3 linked regions of the Lytechinus pictus genome follow. The protein of the gene in region 1 purifies or fractionates together with the protein of each later gene. This does not show direct contact. Links are inferred from orthologs where the notes say so. Each region holds a gene or a part of one and is shown in the gene's direction. Other genes may lie near its edges. The genes, in order: proteasome assembly chaperone 2-like, proteasome assembly chaperone 3-like and proteasome assembly chaperone 4-like.

The links.
Region 2: the proteins of proteasome assembly chaperone 2-like (region 1) and proteasome assembly chaperone 3-like purify together in Homo sapiens (affinity purification with mass spectrometry; 4 studies listed by BioGRID and IntAct, counting the BioPlex papers as one, with this or other methods). This does not show direct contact. The link is inferred for Lytechinus pictus from reciprocal best matches to the Homo sapiens genes PSMG2 and PSMG3.
Region 3: the proteins of proteasome assembly chaperone 2-like (region 1) and proteasome assembly chaperone 4-like purify together in Homo sapiens (affinity purification with mass spectrometry; 3 studies listed by BioGRID and IntAct, counting the BioPlex papers as one, with this or other methods). This does not show direct contact. The link is inferred for Lytechinus pictus from reciprocal best matches to the Homo sapiens genes PSMG2 and PSMG4.

Annotation. Positions count from the first base shown.
Region 1 is NC_087246.1:42,917,750-42,924,855, reverse strand, and holds the start of proteasome assembly chaperone 2-like, read left to right. Parts: upstream 1-4,028; coding exon 4,029-4,271; intron 4,272-7,106. UniProt on the Homo sapiens protein: Chaperone protein which promotes assembly of the 20S proteasome as part of a heterodimer with PSMG1.
Region 2 is NC_087255.1:4,224,152-4,231,604, forward strand, and holds the start of proteasome assembly chaperone 3-like, read left to right. Parts: upstream 1-4,411; 5' UTR 4,412-4,536; coding exon 4,537-4,575; intron 4,576-7,453. Other genes in the region: transmembrane protein 53-A-like, read left to right, coding at 1-242, 397-513. UniProt on the Homo sapiens protein: Chaperone protein which promotes assembly of the 20S proteasome. May cooperate with PSMG1-PSMG2 heterodimers to orchestrate the correct assembly of proteasomes.
Region 3 is NC_087246.1:50,377,406-50,384,645, reverse strand, and holds the start of proteasome assembly chaperone 4-like, read left to right. Parts: upstream 1-4,185; 5' UTR 4,186-4,299; intron 4,300-7,240. UniProt on the Homo sapiens protein: Chaperone protein which promotes assembly of the 20S proteasome.

The DNA of each region.
Region 1 (7,106 bases):
AGTCGTTGCCATGGCAACGGGCCACATGCAACATTTTTATTTATCATTAAATTCAGGCATTACCAAGGCAACCTCAAATTTTATCATTCTAATGAACTAATGCGAAACACTGTAATCTTTGTTCAAAATTAATTGACTGGGTCAAATCTTGAGTTAATTGTTATAGATTGCATTTTCCACCTGTCCATTATCATGTCAACCACGTTTTTTTTTTCAAATGAGATGTTATTTGGTTGCCATGACAATGGCTTTAGATGTTATTTGTATGTTATCAGCAAACATATCCATTCTTACCCTAAAATTAGGGGAAATGAAAGAAAAATCAGATTGTACAGTCCTTTTTCTAATCAAAACTGGTACTTTTCTTGGGTAAATGAGCCGTTGCTATGGCAACAGGTCATTTGCAACATTGATTGTTGAATTCAAGTATTACCAAGGCAACATCAATGTTTATTCTAATTAGTTCATGCAGAACACTCACTGTATTGTTTCCCCTAAACTAATTGAGTAGGTCAAACCTTATGCATGTACATTAAGTTAATTTTCATTGTATTTTTCACCTGTCCATAACTTGTTATCCATGTTGTTTTTTTTTTAAACTAGATGTTATCTGGTTGCCATGGCAATGGCTTAATATGTTATATTTAAAAATTTAGTCACAAACATATCTTGATTAGTACCTTAAAATATTGAAAATGGAATGATGATCATACATGTATATATATTCTACATTTTTATCAATATTTTTACCTTTCTAGAGGGAAATAGGCTGTTGCCATGGCAACGGGATCTCTGCAACATTGTTTTTTTTTTATTTAATTCAAGCATTACCAAGGCAACATTATTTTTTATCTTTATAAAGAACTCCTGCAGAACACTTTCTGTATATTTTGTTCAAATGAGGGGGTAAAAACTTAAGCATACAGATTAAGTCAATTTTAATTCTATTTTCCACCTGTCCATTGTGTTGTCAACCATGTTATTTTTGTAAATTAGATGTTATTTGGTTGCCATGGCAATGGCTTGAGATGTAATTTATACATTTAGCAACCAAAATATCTTTGTTTAACACTGAAATTAGGGGGAAATTAGAGATAAATCATATTTTATAACGTTTTTTTAATTATGTCTTTTATTTTTCTGGGGAAAAACAAGCCGTTGCCATGGCAATGGTCCAATTAGAACTATCTTGGTGATCTTGAATATTTCTAAATTTTATATGTATTCAATTGGGAGCCTGAAAATTATCATTTTGGTCATCTATATCATGTTTATTTACCATTTACATGGGAATGTATGTCATTTTTGAGAAATTAAATGTACAGAAAAGATAGATTGTCAAACCCCACAGTAAGCAAAATATGGCAATAACAATATGTTAAGGTGCCTAAATTGTGTAACGTGAGTAACATGGAATTGCCCATAGGTATTTTTGGGGCAAAAATGTGAAATTAAATACTGTTGATTAATTAGTATAATTAATATGCATACAATAATAGATAATTATTCGATTTTTGGTACAGATTTAATTATTGATGTTTCAAGATTATAACTGCAATTTACTAGGGTGATCCAATGTTGCATTAACTTTTGACATTTTATTTTATTTTATGTGCAGCAGGTCCAATTTGAGAAAAACGCATTTCAAAATTCACATTTACATTGACGTCTATGTAATAATTATATGTTAATTAGTCATTTCAAGGAAAAATAAAGGTATTCGAGACGTAAAACTTTTTCATTATTTAGAGAATGGTAATAGCTATAACATTTCAAAAAATAAAATTTTTGACCATTTTTACCCTGTTCGCGAAATTGGAGCACCTTATGACATGCGACCATTTGTTGAATTACCATCCTAACTCTAAAGTTTATGGATCTATTTCATAAAACTTGGGATATAAGAGTAATCAATTATCACTGAACATCCCCTGTAAGTTTCAGGTCACAAAACCCAGGTCAAAGGTCAGTTAAGGTCAATAAACTTATGCCATGTTGGGGTAATTGTTGAATTGCCATCATAACTTTGAAAGTTTATGGAAAGAGTGAATGAAATGTGGACATAGGTGTAGTTGACAAGTCTTAAGTCACCGTTCAAATGTCATCTATGGTCAATGAACGTGGTATTATGTCATTATATGAATGGTGTTTTTGTGAATGATTATTTTATAGTAGTTTTCAAAGTTAGCACTGCTGCTATATTAAATCGCGTAATGCAGGCGAGACTGCCAGAGGCGTTCCACTTGTTTGTTCCTTATCACCACTTTCTTCCATTTGCATTTGTTATCCATCTACTCGTCTCCAATCTTACTTCAAGTGGACGTTGTTCATTCCCCACATCCTCTATATCTTGCTGATAGCGCCATTTTAGACATGATTTCTTTTAATCGCCAAATATCTTTATTGAGAAAATACTTTATAATCTATGACGATGTCTGATTCGTTTGATAGACAATCATTGCCTTTCCATAGGCTTAGTAATGACGATTTCTTCGAGTGACATCGACCTATTCAATTTAATGATGCCTCTCTTACCTCTACTAATTTATACGACAATCTTATCAGAGATAGCATGAACTCTTCATCTGTAAACTTGGAGTTTGATTTTGATTTCAATGACCCAGCCCAACGAGGAATTACTAATTACATAACCGTCAATCAGTTTTCCAGTGTCTTGAAAGAATTTGAATTAAATACATTTTCCTTACTTCACCTAAATATCAGAAGTTTGAATCGACATTTTGATGACCTTTCACTTATAGGTAAGCCCATGTCAAACCCACTTTCTCTGATCGGCCTTACGGAAACTTGGTTAAATCACGATTTAAACCACCCATTTCATATAAAGGATTATGAGTTCATCAATAAAAATAGAAAAAAATAAAGTTGGTGGTGGTGTTGCTCTCATTCGCAAATCACGTAACTATACTATTTTGAATGAAATTTCTGTTTGCAACAACCTCTTCATTGAAATTTTGATTCCTGGAAATAAGAATATTATCGCCGGTGTTATTTATAGATCCCCTAGCTCTAGTACTCAAGAATTTTTACAATATTTCTCAGATTTAAAAAGCTGTTGAAGAAATCATCACAGAAGAATATTCCACGAGGTTGCCGTACAAACTATCCTCCAGGCTGGACGGATGACGAAGCTGCTGTACAATAAATATTTCAGGAGCTTTGAGCATTACCCCTTTGGTGCAGATACACTTGAATGTGGGGGAAAATTGACAACTGCCATTATGGAAAGTAAAAAAAGAAAGGGACAGTAGTTCTATAAATCAATGGACATGACTCACAACAGCAGAAAAGCCGGGCAAAACAATTCAGATCCTTGAAAACGACTATGCGAGTCATACCCCTAGTGACCACCGACCAAGTGGCTCACTATCTTCTTGTGTACATTCACGGTAACCCTATATTGCCCGCAAAGTGCCAACCTCCCCAAAAGTGCAGTGACAGCTTCCCAACTAAGAGTCATTTGAATACACAAGACCATTCAGCATGAACGTCTTGTCTACTTGTGCTGTTATTTAAGAAAATAATGAAGAGCTACAAGGCAACCGGATTAGATGATGGCATCTGTGAGCAGATCACAGTTCTTGGATCTGTTGCAGCCCAATGGCTGCTGACATGTTAAACCACTGTTTGCATGAAGAAAAAAACAATGGCAAGAGGAAATTGAGGGTAGTTGCCTAACTAGCCAGGCAAAGACCCAAATCAGCCGAAAGAGTTACAGAACAATCTCTCTACTCTCTCACACATACATGTACAAGCCCTTTGAAAGGCTCCTGCTTAACCGCATTGCTCCCTTCGTAACTGAGTTCTTCATTCCAGTAGGCAAGATTCAGGCCAGGAAAGTCCTTTACTTATCAAAAGTAATGAATCTGACTCAGTACATCAGATGGTTTGAGGAAGGTCTGAAAACTGGAGTAGCCTTTGTTAACTTCTCTGCAGCTTATGAAACAGTTAATCATAGTGTAGGCCTACTTACAAGGAAAGTCATTGTGATGACAAAGAACGTCAAGATGACAAGGCTCATTCAGAACATGCCCTCAAACCGGTTGCTTGTGAATCTCAGTGGTTTCAGCAGCAAATGGTGGAGGCAGAAAAATGGTCACCCACAAAGAAGTGTCCTTGTCCAACGAGCTACCTATGCTGATGAACGGTACATTGCCTCACAGAAGCAGTCATTTGAAGAGGTGGAAAAAACATTCAGTGATGCTCTGGCATATCTGGATCTTTACTATCCAGAGAAAACCAAACTTAGCGTATTCCACCTTAACAATAGATGAGATGCAGAGCGGAAACTGATGGTCAGATGGTGTTGAAAATGAATGAAACACACCAGCAAGCCTGCCTACCTTGACGTCACTCTTGCGTACAAAGAACATGTTGCCAAAACAGAGGCAAAATCTGGAGAAAGAAACAACATCAAAAAGAGGCTTGCTAACACGATATGGGGAGCAGATGCCAAACCATCCGTTCAACAGCTCTGATGTATGCTACAAGTTTAACCCAGTCCTGAATGCTGCTTGCAGAGCAATTTCCGACTGTCTGCTACCAAAAAGAGTAGATGATCTTTACCTATTGTGTGGCACAGTCCCCCCACACATAGAGGTATCAGCACGAGTGGAAAAACAAGCAAAAAATATGCCCTTCCTCCACTTTTTAACTATGAACCTGCTAAAAAGAGACTGGAATCAAGACAGTCTGTGACGCAAAAGCTTTCCGAGTGACCTAGCGAATCATGCCCCCCAGGATCAAGTAACAAATGGCCATCCTGGCTATGTCTTAATCGCCTATGGTCTGGAACAGGAAGGTGCATGCAAAGTCCTTAATATGCAGTTCGGGGCTACAGCAGGGATGCAGACACTATCTATGACTGAGGGGAGGATCAGATAGTGCATCACCTTTTGGTCTGCCCCCCTACCACCAGAGCCATGCGCTGCCAAAGATCTGGAGTCGTTCAACACAAAAGCCAGATCTTGCTTGAACCCTCTACTACACAGGACCTGTGTAGTGACCAAATGGGAGCCTAGGTGTGCAGGAGTTTGTCTCTCCAAAAGGTGGCTTTTTAAGGGGGGTATGTAGATATTGGGTAAGAATGTTAGCATCGAATATCTTTGCTCTTTCACTGGCAAATTGTAATTTTCACCTTAAAACACTAACAACAAGAATAAAGGCACCGATTTCAGCAAAGTTTTAGCCAAATCGTGGACCTAGGTCCATGACCTAACCGACAACCCCATCAGGAACCTATTAAGTCCCTGCCCCCTCCCCCATCCAACTATCCATGAGTAAATAATCACTTTTCCCCCAAATGTCAGATTACCATAAGGTGTCGTCTTCCTTTCATTATTAATGACACACTTTTTACTTCTTGGTTCATTAAAGATGTCATGTCCTGTTTAAAATGGTACAAAATCTACATGTAGCTTTCCTGTAAAAAGGCTCTTGTGCAGTGGCAAAGGCAGTGGCAGTTCATAGCTCTGGTAGGAGGGAGCAGACACGAAAGTGTTGTATCCTATGATCTTCCTTACAGTTGCAGGTAGTTTCTCCATCCCTATTGTAGCCCCATTGGCGATTCAAAAAGATCAGGTAGGCCATTCTTCACTTGAACCTGGAGAGTGATGTACTAAGTCCATAGGTGAGATTGTACATCACAGACTGGAGATTGTTAGACCAGAGGGTGACGCTTTCATGCGTGCAGAGTCATCAAGGGATTCTGTTGAGCGGAGAAAACTATGTCTAGATTTGAGTCTCTTGGCAGGTTCATGTTGACGAGTGGAATACTATCTTCTTGATTGTTTATTCTTTCATCGATCTGTGCTGATAACTTCTCTTCTGACGTGCGGTGGGGCAATAATACAGAGAAGGTAAAGATTACTCACTTCTGTTAATCGCAAACAGCCAGTGATGGCTCTGCAAGCTACATTCAAGACTTGGGGTAAATATTTAGCAGCAAGGTCTGCCTACGCAGCAGTTGAGAAGGATAGAGCAAGATTTGTGGTACAGATAGATTTGGTATCTGTCAATTCCCCTTCTGTTTCCCAGCTTCTTCAGAAAGGTATTCCTTGCTCCATATTTTGCTTTTGTTTTTGCAGCATGTTTTTTGTATGAAAAAGAATGGTCTAGAATGATGCAAAGGTAGGTTGGCTTGTTACCATCTGACCCTCAGTTTTTGATCTGCTCTCTGTTTGTAAGGTGGAATACACTAAATTTGGGTCTTTCTGGATTGGTTCAGAGATGATTTATAGCACAGTACATGCAGTAAGGAGTCACATGTAGACTCGCCAGATCATCACTGAGTCTGTTTTGGCACTCTGAGGAGTGATTATTACTTTGAAGATTATTGCACAATTCAGTGTTTTCCCACTCCATTCAACATGTTCAAGCAGTGATACTATATTATGGCTGTAATTTAGATGTTCCAGCCTTATTATTTGAACAAATGATCATTACAAATACAGAACATTTGTTTGTTTTACCAATACTGTAGGGGTATCATCCCAATTGCATCAGTTTTAGATATTATCTCAGACATATTTCACCATGGATGTCGTCAAAGATTTACATTGATCTAAATCTCCATGGAACGAGCAGTAGCGTTAGTGTAAGCCCTACAATAGTGGCATGTGTACCTGTTTTCTGAAGCTTTACTTTGTCAATGTCCTTTACATATGTACGCATGGTGAAAGGAATCCTTGTATTTTCTTTCAGACATATTTTCTTAAACTGAGTATTTAAGGCATCAGTTTTTAACAGCCGGAGTCACTGACACTATCGATGTGGCAAAAAATACCTGAAGGACAACATCAAAGACCACTTACCGGTAAGCTGATATGCCTCCTCTCCATATTCGGGGACTTTTCTTGTATGCCCCTCCTTGGTTGTCTCTATTCAGCAGATGGGTGTAAACATCATGACATATTACATAATGACACTTAGACATAGAAAACATCTCCCAAATTAGTAAGCCTTTCTATCCTTAAAGGAGAATGAAACCCTTGAAACTAGCTGAATCCATATCAAAGAGAAAAATCAAAGAAACTTATTGTTGAAAGTTTGAGGAAGATTGAATGAATAATAAGAAAGTTATGAGC
Region 2 (7,453 bases), on another chromosome or scaffold:
ACTGGTTCATCAAATTCATCAAGTCTCTTGGGATTTGGATTTTCTTCATGGTGCTCTCCTTTATTTCTTACCTAAGGAGAGGAGTATCAGACCGTGACACCTACTACAAAGCAATGCTTGCGGACAGGATGCGGTGTCCCCAGCTGTTTTTGTATTCAAAGAAAGATCAGATTGTTCCCTACAAAGACGTCCAGGGAGTGATTGCAGAAAGGCGTCGACAGGGCTTTGATGTCCTGGGGAGCGTTTCATGAAAGGACTTGTCGGACGTTTTATCCGACAAGTCCCATTTTATCCGACAGTTACCATAGTAACAATACCTCTCAGCCAATCAACATCAGAGAAAGATGTCAGATCTGACAACTTGTCGGATGAAAATGTTGATGAAACACCCCCCAGGAGGTGGTGTGGGATGACACGGATCATGTCGCTCACCTTCGGAAACACCCTCAAGAATATGTTTCTGCTTGTCTGAAGTTTGTGAATTACTGCTTAGAACGAGTTAATCAAGACTAGAGATGTATACTGTATAGGGATCTAGGGAGGGGAGTGAGGGATTTTCCAGGGCTTTAAAGAGTTGATTTGTGTCAATTTGATGACTATTTGCATTCTGCAAATGTCTTTAGAGAAAAAATGTCTTTAGAGATTTACTTGACCAATATTGCGTGGAGATATTATTGCTGTCTGGGGTATACACTGAATCAGATCCAGATGTAAAATCAGATCAGAAATCAGATGTAAAATAAGAAAATATTTTGAAGTTTTGCTTATCTTTCACAAAACAGTTAGGCCTATACACAACTCTGTGATATGTATGCAAATGAGAGAGCCGATGACATCAATTTGCTCACAATTATTTTTTTTAATGTGTAAAATATTTTTATTTTGATTGTCATGTGAAACAATGTTTATTATTCCTCCCTAAGCATGTGGGATGTCAATTGTCTTAACATTTTATGGTTCAATCAAGAGAGTCTTTATTGTCAAATCTGTAAAAAAATGAAATATTGTATATTTCAAACAATAAAAAGAAAATAAATAGTGAGTGACATCATCCGTTCTCTTATTGATAATTATTATGTGAAATAAGCGAAAGTTTGAAATGTCAAAACATTCTTATTTTACACCCGATTTCGATGAAATTTTCAGCCTAATGCTTGCTTGATCTTTCTCTGTTGGTTCAAATCAACTTTTTTCGAGGAGGGAATTAATGTGCATTTATTAGGCACTAAAGACCAAGTCATTCCCAACCAAAGTTTGTTTTGAAGAAATGGGGAAAATTAAAACCAGTTTTATCTCTGACATTTCATCAACATCGGAATTTAAATAGGAAAGAAAATAAAGTTTTGCATAAAAATATAATCCACAAAACAGTAATTATGTAAATGTTTCATCTTCAAGTTCAAGTTTATTTCAATTCTGCAAAGCATTATGCATGTCATCAAAGAAGTAACAATGAATTAACAATAATTAAAATGCAGAACTGAGGTGATTTATCAAAAAGCACAGTACAGGCCACCGTCTGGTGTATTATCGTACTGTTGAAGTGCAGTGTGCAAGTGTATGTACATCGTCCGATAAAAAATTGCTTACAGCGTGCAAGTAAACACATGATTGGTTGCAGAAGAGCACTGACAGTTCCTTGACCTTCTCGGACATGGCTGGATATTTCTCTGGAGGAAGGCACGTGTGGAGTTGGCCTTTTTCGTTATATGTATTTGTTGATTCCAGCTGAATTTCCTCTGCAGCTCAACATCAAGATACTTTGCCGTATTTTTATCAGATATAGTCTGATTTTTTGGACAGTATGCAAAAGAGGGAACCATCAACATCACATGCTTGATAATTTTTTTTATTTTAGCAAATTATATAAAATATTTTCATACTTATAATGTGAAAAAAGTTTAGATTCCTCCCTGAACCCGTGAAATTGGTGTTTTTGCATCCTATTGGGATGCAATGAGTATCTTTTAAATGGTTAAGCAAATTTTGAAATATTTTTATCTTTTAAAGTCAGGATCAAGTCAGGATTGAAAAAGGGTAGGCCTATGTCACTTTGAAGTAAAAAAAAAAAAAAGGGCACATGTTATGTCCAAACTTGTGAAAGATGTGTTTGGAATGGGACCAATATTTAAATATATGATATTGTATTATCTCAGAAACTCAAATACACCATTCTTTTATTTTTGGCCCTCTACTGTTTTGTAACTTCAGAAAAGTGTTTGTATTTGGAACTCTAGTCTAAATGAGATCAGTGTTTTACATCCAAATAGCATCTAGATTTACCCTATTTATACTTATTTTAGGCAAGCTTGTGTGTGTGTAGTACACAATTTATAGTTGACTTGAATGAAATATCCTAACATTTTCTGTCATATTGAGGATGAAAAATCTAGTTCCATAATTATGAATAAGTAATAAACGTACAGTGTAACTATGGTAAATGTTCATGTATCCAGTCAATTATTTTCTTAGTTATTAAGTTATTATATATTTCCAATTAAATCCCAACATAGGTCTATCAGCAAGCCAGGTGATATCATATTTTCTGAGCCTTAGTATTGAGGGTAAAAGGTCAAAGCTGTGATGGGCACTGGAGTAAGGTCACTGACCAAATTCATTTGCCCTAGTCTTGATAAGATATCTGTAATGATATGTTGGACTTTGGCTGTGATGTGTTCTCAAATAGAATATTGCAATATGAATTTTGATGTGTATACATAATTTTTAAATCATAATATAAATGTGCATTTTTAGAAAAGCCTGCCCATTTTACTTTCGAAATTGTAAATTATATTGTGCCAGAGGAGAACTAATATTTAATAGAAAATGGTTTAACTGTTAATTGTTAATGATGTGTATATTGATGATGTTGTTGTGATTGGTGTCAAAGCAGCTTAATATTCAGTTACCAATATAGTTATTTAACTCTATATCTTACAGGTTGGTATCTTACAAAGTAATTATTCTCTTGTACTGTTCATCAGTGTTCACTTCAAGGGCATTCACTTGTACTGTTCATGTATGAAATTATGCATACCTGTGCATGTGAGGATCAGATAATTTTATCAGTTATTTCCATTGAAATAAATTTATGACAATACTGCATGAAAGCCTGTGGGTCCTGCTATCCTATATGACCAAGACCAATTAAGGGGAGGGGACCTGTGCATCCCTTTAATCCCCCCCCCTAACAAAAAAAAAAATCTGATAATTTTCCTCTGACTGCATTCTACAAGGAATTGATGGTATGAAATATGAAGAAGCACTCCAAAACATAATAAAACACACAAAAAACCATGTATACCATGAAATATACTTTTAATATTCAGACATTCAGAGAAATGGAGAAAGAAAGGGGTGTCTCTGGGAAAAATAAGAGAAAGATTGTGAATGAATTGGAGAATGATAGGAGGTATTTCCTTTAGGAGAGGTAAAAAAAAAGAAGAGAGAAACTGATCTTGCAAGAGACATATATATATATTTGAAAGATTGACAAATGATATGAAAGAAAGAGAGAATGTGGAAATGCATAGTAGAGCAGGGGCCGCGGAACGGTTTTCAAAGTGGGGGGGGGGGCTGAGCCAAAAGTGGGGGGCTGACCATGCAAAAAATCACAATCGTATGGTCATTTTTGCGTTTTTGTACACGGTTTTGGAAAAAAGTGGGGGGGCTGAAGCCCCCCCGGTTCCGCGGCCCCTGTTGAGGAATACTAGGTAAGAGACAACAAATATAAAGTTTGTATAGTGAGAGACAGATATTAATGGTCTGGCATAGAATATGAGAGAAAAGAGAGAGAGAAATAAAATATTTGAAAGATCGGTAAAGGAAATGGGAGGGGTAATAAGTGGGAGAAAAAGAATAAAACAAGTAAAAGATGAAGAGAGAAATCTGGAAAAATGAACAACAGATTTTAGAAAGACCTACGGGAGAGAGAAGATAAATATAAATTTGAATACGAAAGAAGGAAATGTTATTAAGTGTGTGCAACATTTGACAAAATGAATAAGTCACTTTTTCCAAAAATTAATGTCTTTATCATGAAAGAGCTAGAGCTATATGAAAGAAATAATGATGTTGGTAATGTTTTCAAGGAAAAAGTAAAAACTCGTAAACTAAAAAAAAAAGAGGTGTATGGAGCAGTGGGGGCGGATGGGGCCAGGGGTTGACTTTGATTTAACCGTTATAGACATATACCTGGGGAAATCAGTTAAAATTATTTTAAAATTTAAAGTAAAATATTTTCAAGGGATGTTTTTTCTTTTACCCAGTTTTTCCCCCTCCCAGCCCCCTTGTTTTTTCTTCTTCTTTTCAGGCATTAAAAAAGGAGAAGACGATCGAACTTCCAGCCGCCCCCCCCCCCCCCCCCCCCCCCCCCCCCCCCTGATCAGCGCTTCCCAAGCTCGCCCAGATCACATCTGACATGTGCCGATCGATCGGGGATTTCCCTTTTCACTGGCTCCGCCCACATCGGCTACGGCACATTAACAAACAGCTGTCCTGTGGATTAAAAAGTCCTTGATTTAGGCTTTAGCCCGCATGATGGAAGTTCAGTCAACGTATCCAGTTACTAAAAAGGTAAGTGATTACTTGCAATATTGATAAATAAGGCTTAGGAGTCAATGCAATACTAGCATAATTTGAAAATGCAGTCGGAGCAAGAAATTGCTCAGGCCAGGCAGGGCCCCAGTCCCGTGCATTCATTATTATGCTTGGAAATGGAAATAGAATAGATTCGACCCAATCCCAATTTGATATTCCCATGGCCATATTGATCATGAGTAAATGAAGACTAGCCTACAAGTTATGGCTAAATCCGTTTGCATTTTGGTCTATTTACACTTTTAGGCTTAACTTTCGATGTTTCGTATGGTCGTTCATGTACTACTATGTAGATCTACGTGATTCGTAAAAAAAATGATTATGAATTATGATTCATTGACAATATCATGATATACTTATGAAAAATTGATGATAAAAAAACCCGAGCAGCAGATCTGCTGATTTAGCAATTTGTTTATGTCACTGATGTTGGCTGTCATTGTGCCTTTTTGCTCTAGGCCTAGAATAGATTCAATTTCAATTCAATTCAATGTCTTTATTTCCATATCAGTAAAAAAAAAAAAATCATATTTACAACACATAACATTATAAATGCATTTCTACTAATTCTAGTCATTAAATATTTACATACATAAAGAGAGCATAAAAAAAAAGGATTTCATAATTCATGTACAATAATCATCATCATCATCATCTGGTACGGGATGAAGGCGCAAGCCTGTAATTCCCGGTCGTTTCTTGTATGATTGGTCACTGAAAACTACTACTTCATGAGCTTGCGTGAGGAGTCATGGAAGCTCAAAGTGGTTTCTTTGCCAAAATATATCAATATTTCTTTTAAATTTGTCTGTTGTTGGCATTTGTATTAGGTTTTCAGGAAGACTATTCCAGTCATTGATGACTCTTCTACTGAAAGACTTATTTCTCACTTCCAGTTTGCTATGGGATTTCAATAATTTCATGGAGTGACCTCTTGTAGAGTTACTACCAGACTTGTAGAAGAAATGGTCTGGAGAAATGTTGACCAATCCATGCATAATCTGGTGGACCATTATCATAATCTCCTCTCCTCCTTCTTTTACCTTTACCTTTACCCGAGATTCTGGAAGAATGCTGATGATCCCAGCAGTCGTGCTTCCAGTTCAAGTCCTTCATCCTTCTCGTTAGTTAGGTATCTTCATAGCAGTCTAGCTTGGAAATCTGCACCGTCCTCAATATTAGTGTGGTTTATGCATCATAGGGTGAGCAGTACCGCTGGTCTGCCCACACCTTGTCTAGCCTTATTTTGAAACTGTTCACCGTCTGAGCAGTGACTACCTCTTCGGGCAGCGAATTCCAGTCGTTTATGATACGCTGGCTGAAAACATCTTGTCTGATCTTCGTCAAGCATCTGGGTTTTGAGAGCTTCAGACTATGCCCTCTTGTGTTGCCTGTTGTATACACAAAGAAAGTATCACCTGGAATGCGTTCAAATCCATGGATTATTTTGAACACCTGTATCATATCTCCTCGTCTTCTGCGGTACTCAAGAGAAGGAAGATTGAGTGCTTTTAATCTCTCTGTGTATGTGCAGTTTCTGATGGAATAGATCATTTTTGTTGCTCTCTTCTGTACCTTCTCAATGGCTTTACTGTCACTCTTAAATCTAGGATACCATATAGAGTTGCCATAGTCAATGATCGGCCTGACAAGTCCTTTGTACAGTTTTGGGATTGTAGATTTGTCTCTACATTCAAAACTGCGGCGAATACATGAAAGTATCCCATTCGCTTTTTTGACAACATATGCAACATGGTCTATAATAGAGTGAGTACATGTTAAGTTCCCTGAGTCTCCTTTCATACGGTACGTTTCTCAAGTCCTTCACTAGTTTTGTTGCTCGCCTCTGTACTCTCTCAACCTTCTTGGCATGTTCTGTAAATCTACCGTTCCAGATGACGCTCCCATATTTCAGATGTGGTCTAATTAATGTCTTGAAGAGAATGGGCAAGGTAGATTTGTTTAGTTGAGTGAAAGTTCTCTTTACGATTCCAAGCAGTTGGTATGCCTTATTAACAGCTAGAGACACATGCTGATGAAATTTCAATTGATTATCAACTGTTACCCCAAGATCCTTTTCAGTAGCTACTGACTTCACTTCTTGTTCCAACATATAAAATTTTGCTTCTGGATTATTCCTTCCGATGTGTAGAACTTTACATTTACTGCTATTGAAAGGTAACTGCCATTTCGCTGACCATAATTGTAGTCTATCCAGGTCCTCTTGAAGATCTTTGATCTTTGATAAGTCACTCACTATATTGTAAAGTTTGGTGTTGTCGGCAAATAAAGCAACATTACTCTTGTTGACAGCAGATGATAGGTCATTGATAAAGACTAGGAAGAGAATAGGTCCGAGAACACTCCCTTGCGGTATTCCGCTTGATACTGGAGACCATGGAGATAGTTCCCTGTTTACTCGTACACGCTGAACTCTTCCTGTCAAAAATTCTCGCATCCAGATAAGAAGTTGGCCCGTAATTCCGTGTCTCTCTAGTTTACGTAGTAGCCTTTCATGGGGAACACTGTCAAATGCTTTGCGAAAATCTAAGTACAAAACATCGATTGGCTTCCCTTCATCAAGCATCTGCGTCCATTCTTCAAGCACATACAGAAGTTGTGTGGAACATGACCGTCCTGGGATGAATCCATGTTGGTTATAATACAACAATTGATTATTTTGCAAATGATCCACTACAGCATTCCTCACAATCTTTTCCATTAGTTTTCCTGCTATCGATGTAAGACTCACCGGTCTGTAGTTAGAAATCTGTGTTCTATTTCCTTTCTTGGGAAGAGGAATTACAATTCCCTTTTTCCAGTCAGCTGGAATTTTACCTTCATGCATTGACTT
Region 3 (7,240 bases), about 7.5 Mb from region 1:
TCCACTTGCCCCATTTCCCTCCATCTTATTCCCGTTTCTCTCTTCTCATTTGCAGTACGCAGGATTTTTCCTCTCTTTCATGTCTTTCGTTGAAGTGGGGGTATAGGTAAGAATGTTTAATCGTTAAGAACATACTAAGGTGAGTAGGGGGCGGTAGGGGGTTCAAATCGCAATCGAATATTTTTTTCTCCATTTTTCAAAAATATCATTTTTCAATATTGGTACGAAGTTTGGATATAATTTTGTTATTTTTTAGTTTATATAGATTTTCACTTTGAGGGATATCGCTGGAATTAAATTGTGGTAACTTTATCTTTAACTTGAACATCGAATTGATAGAGGTGTTAACATCATAGGCTCATGAAATCCCCGGATTAAATATTCCAGTAGAATGATAAATGCAAATTAACATTATTAACGAACATAATAATATATGTTTTAAGATCAAAAGTTTGGCTGAAATGGTATAAGGGAGTATAGGGGAAAAGGAATTTTCTAAATAAATAAATATTAATTTTCAAAGCTTGGCCAGGATCGTAATATTGTGATTTGGAGCAGGGGCGTTTCGTTTGGGGTCTTGGGGGCAAAGCCAAAATGGGCACCTTTAAATTTGTCAAAATGGCCATTTTGGTGCAACGGATATTTTCACCATGAAATTATCATCTGTGTGAGTCAGATGTGTGTTTTGTACTAAATAAGTTGAGGAAAGCGTTTTAAAAGTGATTTCTGGTTGATAAGATATCGTATATTGTGGCTTTATTCTTTCCGCAAGAGAGTGTAGCGAGCGAGCGCTTTTTCAAAAATTTACAAATCTGAAGATGTAAAACTCGCTTTTTGGTCAATAATGGCGCTAATAACTGTTAAAAGGGTATTCTCACAAGATGTTGCGAGCGCGAACCGCGAGCTCAAACTTTGGGATATTTCAATAAGACATGAAAATTAAAAATTCCAAACAGTTTTTGTAATCATGAAAATCTAACTAAATAATTAACGCGAGCTGAATGTTTTTTATATACCGACCAGAAAAGGAACCTGTTAAAGACTGCATTTAGTGACTCATGAATAGGATACATATCTCATCAATCGAATAATGCAAGCGCGAAGCGCGAGCTGAAAATTTGTGACATTCCAACCTGAAAACTAGACATTCCAAGCATTTTTATAACCAGAAACAGAGTACTTTACAAAACAATAATTTATGCGAGCACGAAACACGAGCCCCGAAATTGTGATATTCCAACCCGACAACTGAACATTCTATATAAGCATTTTTGTTACCATGAACAGGCTGCGAGTACCTTACTAAACAATAACTGATGCGAGCGCGAAGCGCGAGCTAAAATTTCCGATTTTCTAACCTAAAATGTATTATGTTTAACTTCAAAAAGGGTATTTCATTTCGAAAAGGGAACATGTTATTTAAAAAAAGGGATTTTTTCCTACTACGATTTTTTGGGGAGGGGGGGGGGGGGGCAAGTGCCGCCAGCCCCCTGGTTCCGCCGCCCCTGATTTGGAGCATAATTCATCAAGAAGTTTGGATATATGGTTCGTTTTTATCGCTCTTTCTATGACTCTCGAGTCCCTATTAAGGTGTGACAGAGGTATATCCAAGCCACACTGTCAACAGCCCTACCGCTAGACCGGTACTAACTAATATGATGATTCAAACAGCTGATTACACGCGCAGGAAACAAACAGGAAGCCCAGGACCTCCTGCCAAAAGGAGAATGACCTCCATCAACAGGTGCCTATCTAGGCAGAAAATGAGGATGATGCTCAGCATCTAGGCCTATAAGTGTAAGGGCATATCGAGTGGGGGAGGGGACATTTTTGTCAATGGTTGGGCCTACCATAGTTACGGGCAAACATAAAAAAAATACAATACAATAATTCAACCCCTCCCCAAGTCAATGATTCGAACATTGAGGTACTATCCAAGGGGGTGAGGAACTGGGAGTTGCAGCCCCTGCACTTTTCAAGGAATGAGTAGTAAAAGTAATAACGACCATCTGATTTTCTTCTTTTTTTTGCATAGCCAGCCGCCCCGCCCCCTCCTCACTTTCAAAACCGTTCTGCGGTCCACTACCGGCTTTGGGAGTTTGAAGGGCGTAATTTTAATGCTCGCATCGACATTTTTATATGATTTATACTTGCATCGACTTTCAAGTATATGAACATGATATGCGGATGGTGATGAGGGGGGGGGGGGGGGCTAGCTAGCTGTGCCACTTGTTTCAATTGAAAACGGAGTGGATAAAGCCCAGGAGGCTGGAGGGTGGGCTAGTCGCCGGATGGGCTGACTCATATACTAAGGGTGCTAATTTTCCCCGGTAATTTCTCCCAATTTGATTAGCCTGGATGATTCAATGATAATAGAATGTAAAAACTGGAGAATTTTTGGGCTTTTACTGCGAGTGTGTGTGGGGAGAGATAGATGAAGAGAGAGAGGGGGTGGGGTAGAGGGGGTGGGTGAGAGGGAGTTGGGGGTATAAGGGGAATCGGGTTGGGGTGCAGGGATTCAGGGATTCAGGGATATATATATATATATATATATAGGTTCAAACAAAGAAAAGTATAAAAACTCCGTGGACAGTAATATTTTAACGAATTTTCGCCCATAGGGCTTTGTCAAGTTATGACAAATTTATTAGATTGCGTCAAAATAATGCATCATAAAAATGCGCGGTATCCAAGCAGTGAGCAAAAGCGCACAAAGGATGACGAAAAGGATACGTCATAAAGGGGAAACGAAAGAAGACAGTAGGAGGAGTAGATAGAGAGCGCGTGAGAGAAAGAAGAAGAGAGAGTGGGTGAGAAGGAGGGAGATAAGGAAGAAAGAAAAAAAGAGAAGAAAAAAGAAAAGGAAAGAGAACAGGAAAGAAAGACAAGGAAGAGAAGGTAAAATAAAAATAAAAAAAAGAAGAAAACAAATATCCACGTCAAACGAAATGAGTGGAAAGAAACATTGAGAGAGAAAGAAAGAAAGAAAGAAAGAGCGGGTGAGAAGGAGGGAGATAGGGGAGAAAGAAAGAAAAAAGAGAAGGAAAAAGAAAAGGAAAGAAAGGAAGAGTGGGTAAAAGAAAAAAAAATAATAATAATAATAATAATAATAAAAAGAAAGAAAAAGAAGAAGAAAAGAAATATCTACGTCAGACGAAATGAGTGGAAAGAAACATTGAGTCCATTGGGTTGGAGACATCCAAGGCGATGGATAATCTTCTCTTCCAAAAGCTTTCTGTCCTCATCACTTCCTTTGCAAGATAGAATTCCGAAGATCTTCATATCATCTATGGTGTGCCCAGGCAAATTGAAGTGACGGGCCACAGGAAGACCTTGAGTGTTGAGTCTAACGGACCTTAGGTGTTCAGTAGCTCTGTCGGCCATCCTACGCTTGGTTTCCCCGATATAGATCAAGTCACAGCGAGAGCAGACGATGGCATAAATCAGGTTGGTGGTGGTACAGGTAAAATCTTCCCTTATTTCCCACGTGCCATTCGGCCCCTTCAGCAAAGTGCAATCAGAAACAAAACGGCACGTGTTGCACCTACGTCTCCTGCAAGATGTTGTTCCTTGCCGCTGGGATTGATTGACTGCAAGTGGTTTCATTCTGGAGTGAACGAGTAAGTCCCTCAAACTCTTGTCCCTCAAACTCTTGTCTTGCCGTTTTTTATTATTTTGGTTTAGTACCGGCGGCCCCAGTCCACACCTCGCGCAAATCGGACTCTAAACACGTAGTGTTGGGGCAAAAAGGACATCCTTTATAAAACATTTTGATTTTGTTTTATCATCCCCGCATATTTGACCCTAAACACGTATATTTTTCAAAGCGAAATAGATACCCTTTTTTCAATATTTTTGTGTTTTTGACACCCTTATCACGTTACGTACGTAACGTGCCCTATCTTGAAAAAGACATCCTTTTTACGTGTTTTTTTTGGTCGCGCACGGTATCCACTCGTCAATGTAAGTGGCCCCCGGCCCCCGGCCGCCCCCCTGGATCCGCCTATGTATGTATTCGACGTGCCTGCAAGCATGTTCATCCTCGACTCGTCGATCATTTATCTTGTCATCTTGACAAGTCGCGAGTCGATGTCACCGTCTTCGGTAATCAACTCACAAATCTAGCATATTGATATGTAGCTGTCGTCTATATAGATCTGGAAGAAATATATCTCATTCTTGAACAAAGGCTAATTGAGAGTCATCGAGGTATGTCATGCAAGTAAGAAGGGATTTTAAAATCGTGAGATTGTGAGTAGAAAAATAACCAGATATTTAAGTCATATACCAAGTAAGTATGTAAGTATATTAGGTATAAACATGACGTCTTCGATTTTCTTTAGAATACGTAATCATTTGTGAAAGTAGAAATTCCGACTTCATATTTTTCTCGTGATCAAACGAGTGCCCCACGTATTCATAATTGTGTTATGTTTGTCATGTCAAATTTTACAATAATGAATGTGCATGATCATGAATAATTTGTTTGAATTTGGATATGGTTTATCATGGGTAGCAATATGTTCAGTCTTTGTTGATTCTATTCCTAAGTTACAATACACTTCAGAACAAAAGATCATCTTTAAGATATCACCTAGCTTAGGAAGTACAAAGTCAAAGAAGACAAATTGGGCAATTTGTGACAATGTCAATGATTGATTGGTGTCTGCAATGACTGCAACTTGCAAGCTTCATTGGGGAATGGGGATTATATTTTTTTTAATTCACCAAACATTATAGTCTAGTAAATTAAAACAAATATAATCCCCAATATTTCTATAATGAAAAACAGATTATCAGTGAATGGAATGAAGTCTTAAGTTTTAGTTTTTGTTAAAAGTGACATACCAGAATGTTCAAAAACTGATTTTGATTAGTACTGACTTGCACTCCTAGTACCAATGAGGTCCAAACATTAACATGTATGGACCTCATAGGCGACAATGCGTTAAAAACAGGTTAGAAGTCCTGCACCCAAGTATTTTTATGATATTAGTGATTATTACTCGAAAAATGCAAGCTTTGAGCCTTTGTCCTCATTTGTTTAGCATTTATTAAAAAATTACCCATTAACTATAATCCTACTCATATTCTAAATGTTATAAAATAAAGGGAAACTTACATTTGAGTCCTTTTTCGATCTTTTCTTGGCAGTCAGTCCGGTCCCGTCGAGTGCGATCAAAGCGGTACGAAGCTGATTTTCAGATCACGTGATACGAGTAGTCATCACCTGATCGATCGACTATCCTTTTTTAAAGACCGCAACAATTATAAATTTTATTATAAAATATATATAGAATAAATAATTGCATGATATTATATATATTTCTACAATTAAAAATATTTTGTGAGATGAATTTAATATTTGACGTAAAAATCGCTATTCAACAAAATATTTATTAAAAAATAAAAATCAAACAAAATAAAAACGCCTTGGACACAGTGCAAAAAACCTAACAATTTGGCCGCGTTCTTAACAACTATCGTAAGGGGCGCTCTATTTATAAATAAAGTTGCATATGTAGCTGTCTACCGCGACAGGAACAGCCGCAGAATTGAAGCCAGAAGCGTGGGAAATTGCCAGAAAATTCAAGAAAAGAACCGGTGAGTACCGATTTAACAGTACTAATTTATTAAGTAACATTTATTGAATCATTACAAGATTTATTTTTTAGTAAAACAAAGCTTAGTTCTAAGCTAGGGCGGCCCAAATGCGCGTGAGTGGAGTCCCAGTTTATTAGCACGGGTAAGTATTGGGGTGTCGCCTAGAGTGGTGACTTGGTACATATTCGAGTCTTTTGAGAGGCCCTAGCCTTCCACTCATTTAATAAACAAAGTTGCGATAGGCCTTGTTCTCTGTTGTTAGGAATCTCTGTGTGGGGGAAATATGGTTGGCAATGTTTGGATTATTTTATCTTGTTCTTGCCTTTTTGGGGATCAGCAAATGCTTGATTTTGTTTTACAGTCAGTTTCCACTACAACTACTGTATTCATCATATAACTTGGCTCTGAAGTAAATTGAGTTCTTTTAATATTTCATATGAATTAAAAATAGAGATTGTTAAATGACAATTTTCTTGCAATTTTACTTTACACAATTAGAGGCCGAGACAAAAAATGCTCAAAATTAGTTTTTGAGCGCTTTTGTGAATGAAAAAAAATTATCCCCAAGTTACTAATGAAAAATAAATCACAACCATATGGAAAGTTTTTTGGGTTACAAAAGTGATATTTTTAATTTTGTTAAATTTTTAAATTAAATAGGTAGGGTGGTTGCAGTGAACAAGTGTAGCCTTCATGCTATCGGTGGAAAGTAAAATAAAGTAGCACACAAATTTTTTTAATTACAAACAAAGAATTCAATGTAAAGGCATGCAATGAACTTCGAAACCATCTGTGCCAAAAATCAAGAGAAAATAAGCACTATTTGTAATATTACAATTGGAAGAAAAGTTACTGAGTTGTTCCATGAAACCTGTCCTGTAGTATTTTTTTGGGGGGGAAAGCAGTACAAATACTGTAAAAGATGACTAACAGTCAGGATCTCTGTACGGGTACAAATACAATACACTATCTGCATAATTGAAGTCAAAATACATCACACTATTTATTACCTTGAAGCACCACACTTCCATCTTCATGGAGATAGATAATAGTGTGGCAGGGTTTGGGGGCTTTGTAGTCCATTAATAACCCAATTTTGATAGTCTTTGTTTAAAGGTGAGGAGTGTGGATGACTTGATGGCTTCTCCTGGGAGTTTATTCCAGCTGTCAATGACTCTTTTATTGAAGAATTTAAATTGAATATAAATCCTAAAGACAGAAATATATCTTTGACAAAAGCAGGTCTTTATCACTAGTGGTTCAACTGTTATTGGGAATGTAAACAAAGGAATGGATCCACTGGTCAACGGATCTTTGTTAAGTCGCCATTTGCTCATTGCACGAGAGATGCTGAAAATATCTATACCACAATTTCAATTTATTTGGCAAAATAGTGCACTTACAAAATGATGTGCTTCCTAACACATCCTGCCACATACATGTAAAGTTAATGCAGGATGTGATCATGAAATTCTTATGGCTCATTGAGTAGCTTCACAAACTTCTGCAATGCCTTGGTTATGAAGTGCTGCTGTCAGGTTTGGTACAACAAATTCTCTTTCGTGGTTATTTTGAAGAATTGCCTACTTAAACTGCAATGCAATACTAGGGTTGTTGTTCCATCCACCGCTTCATC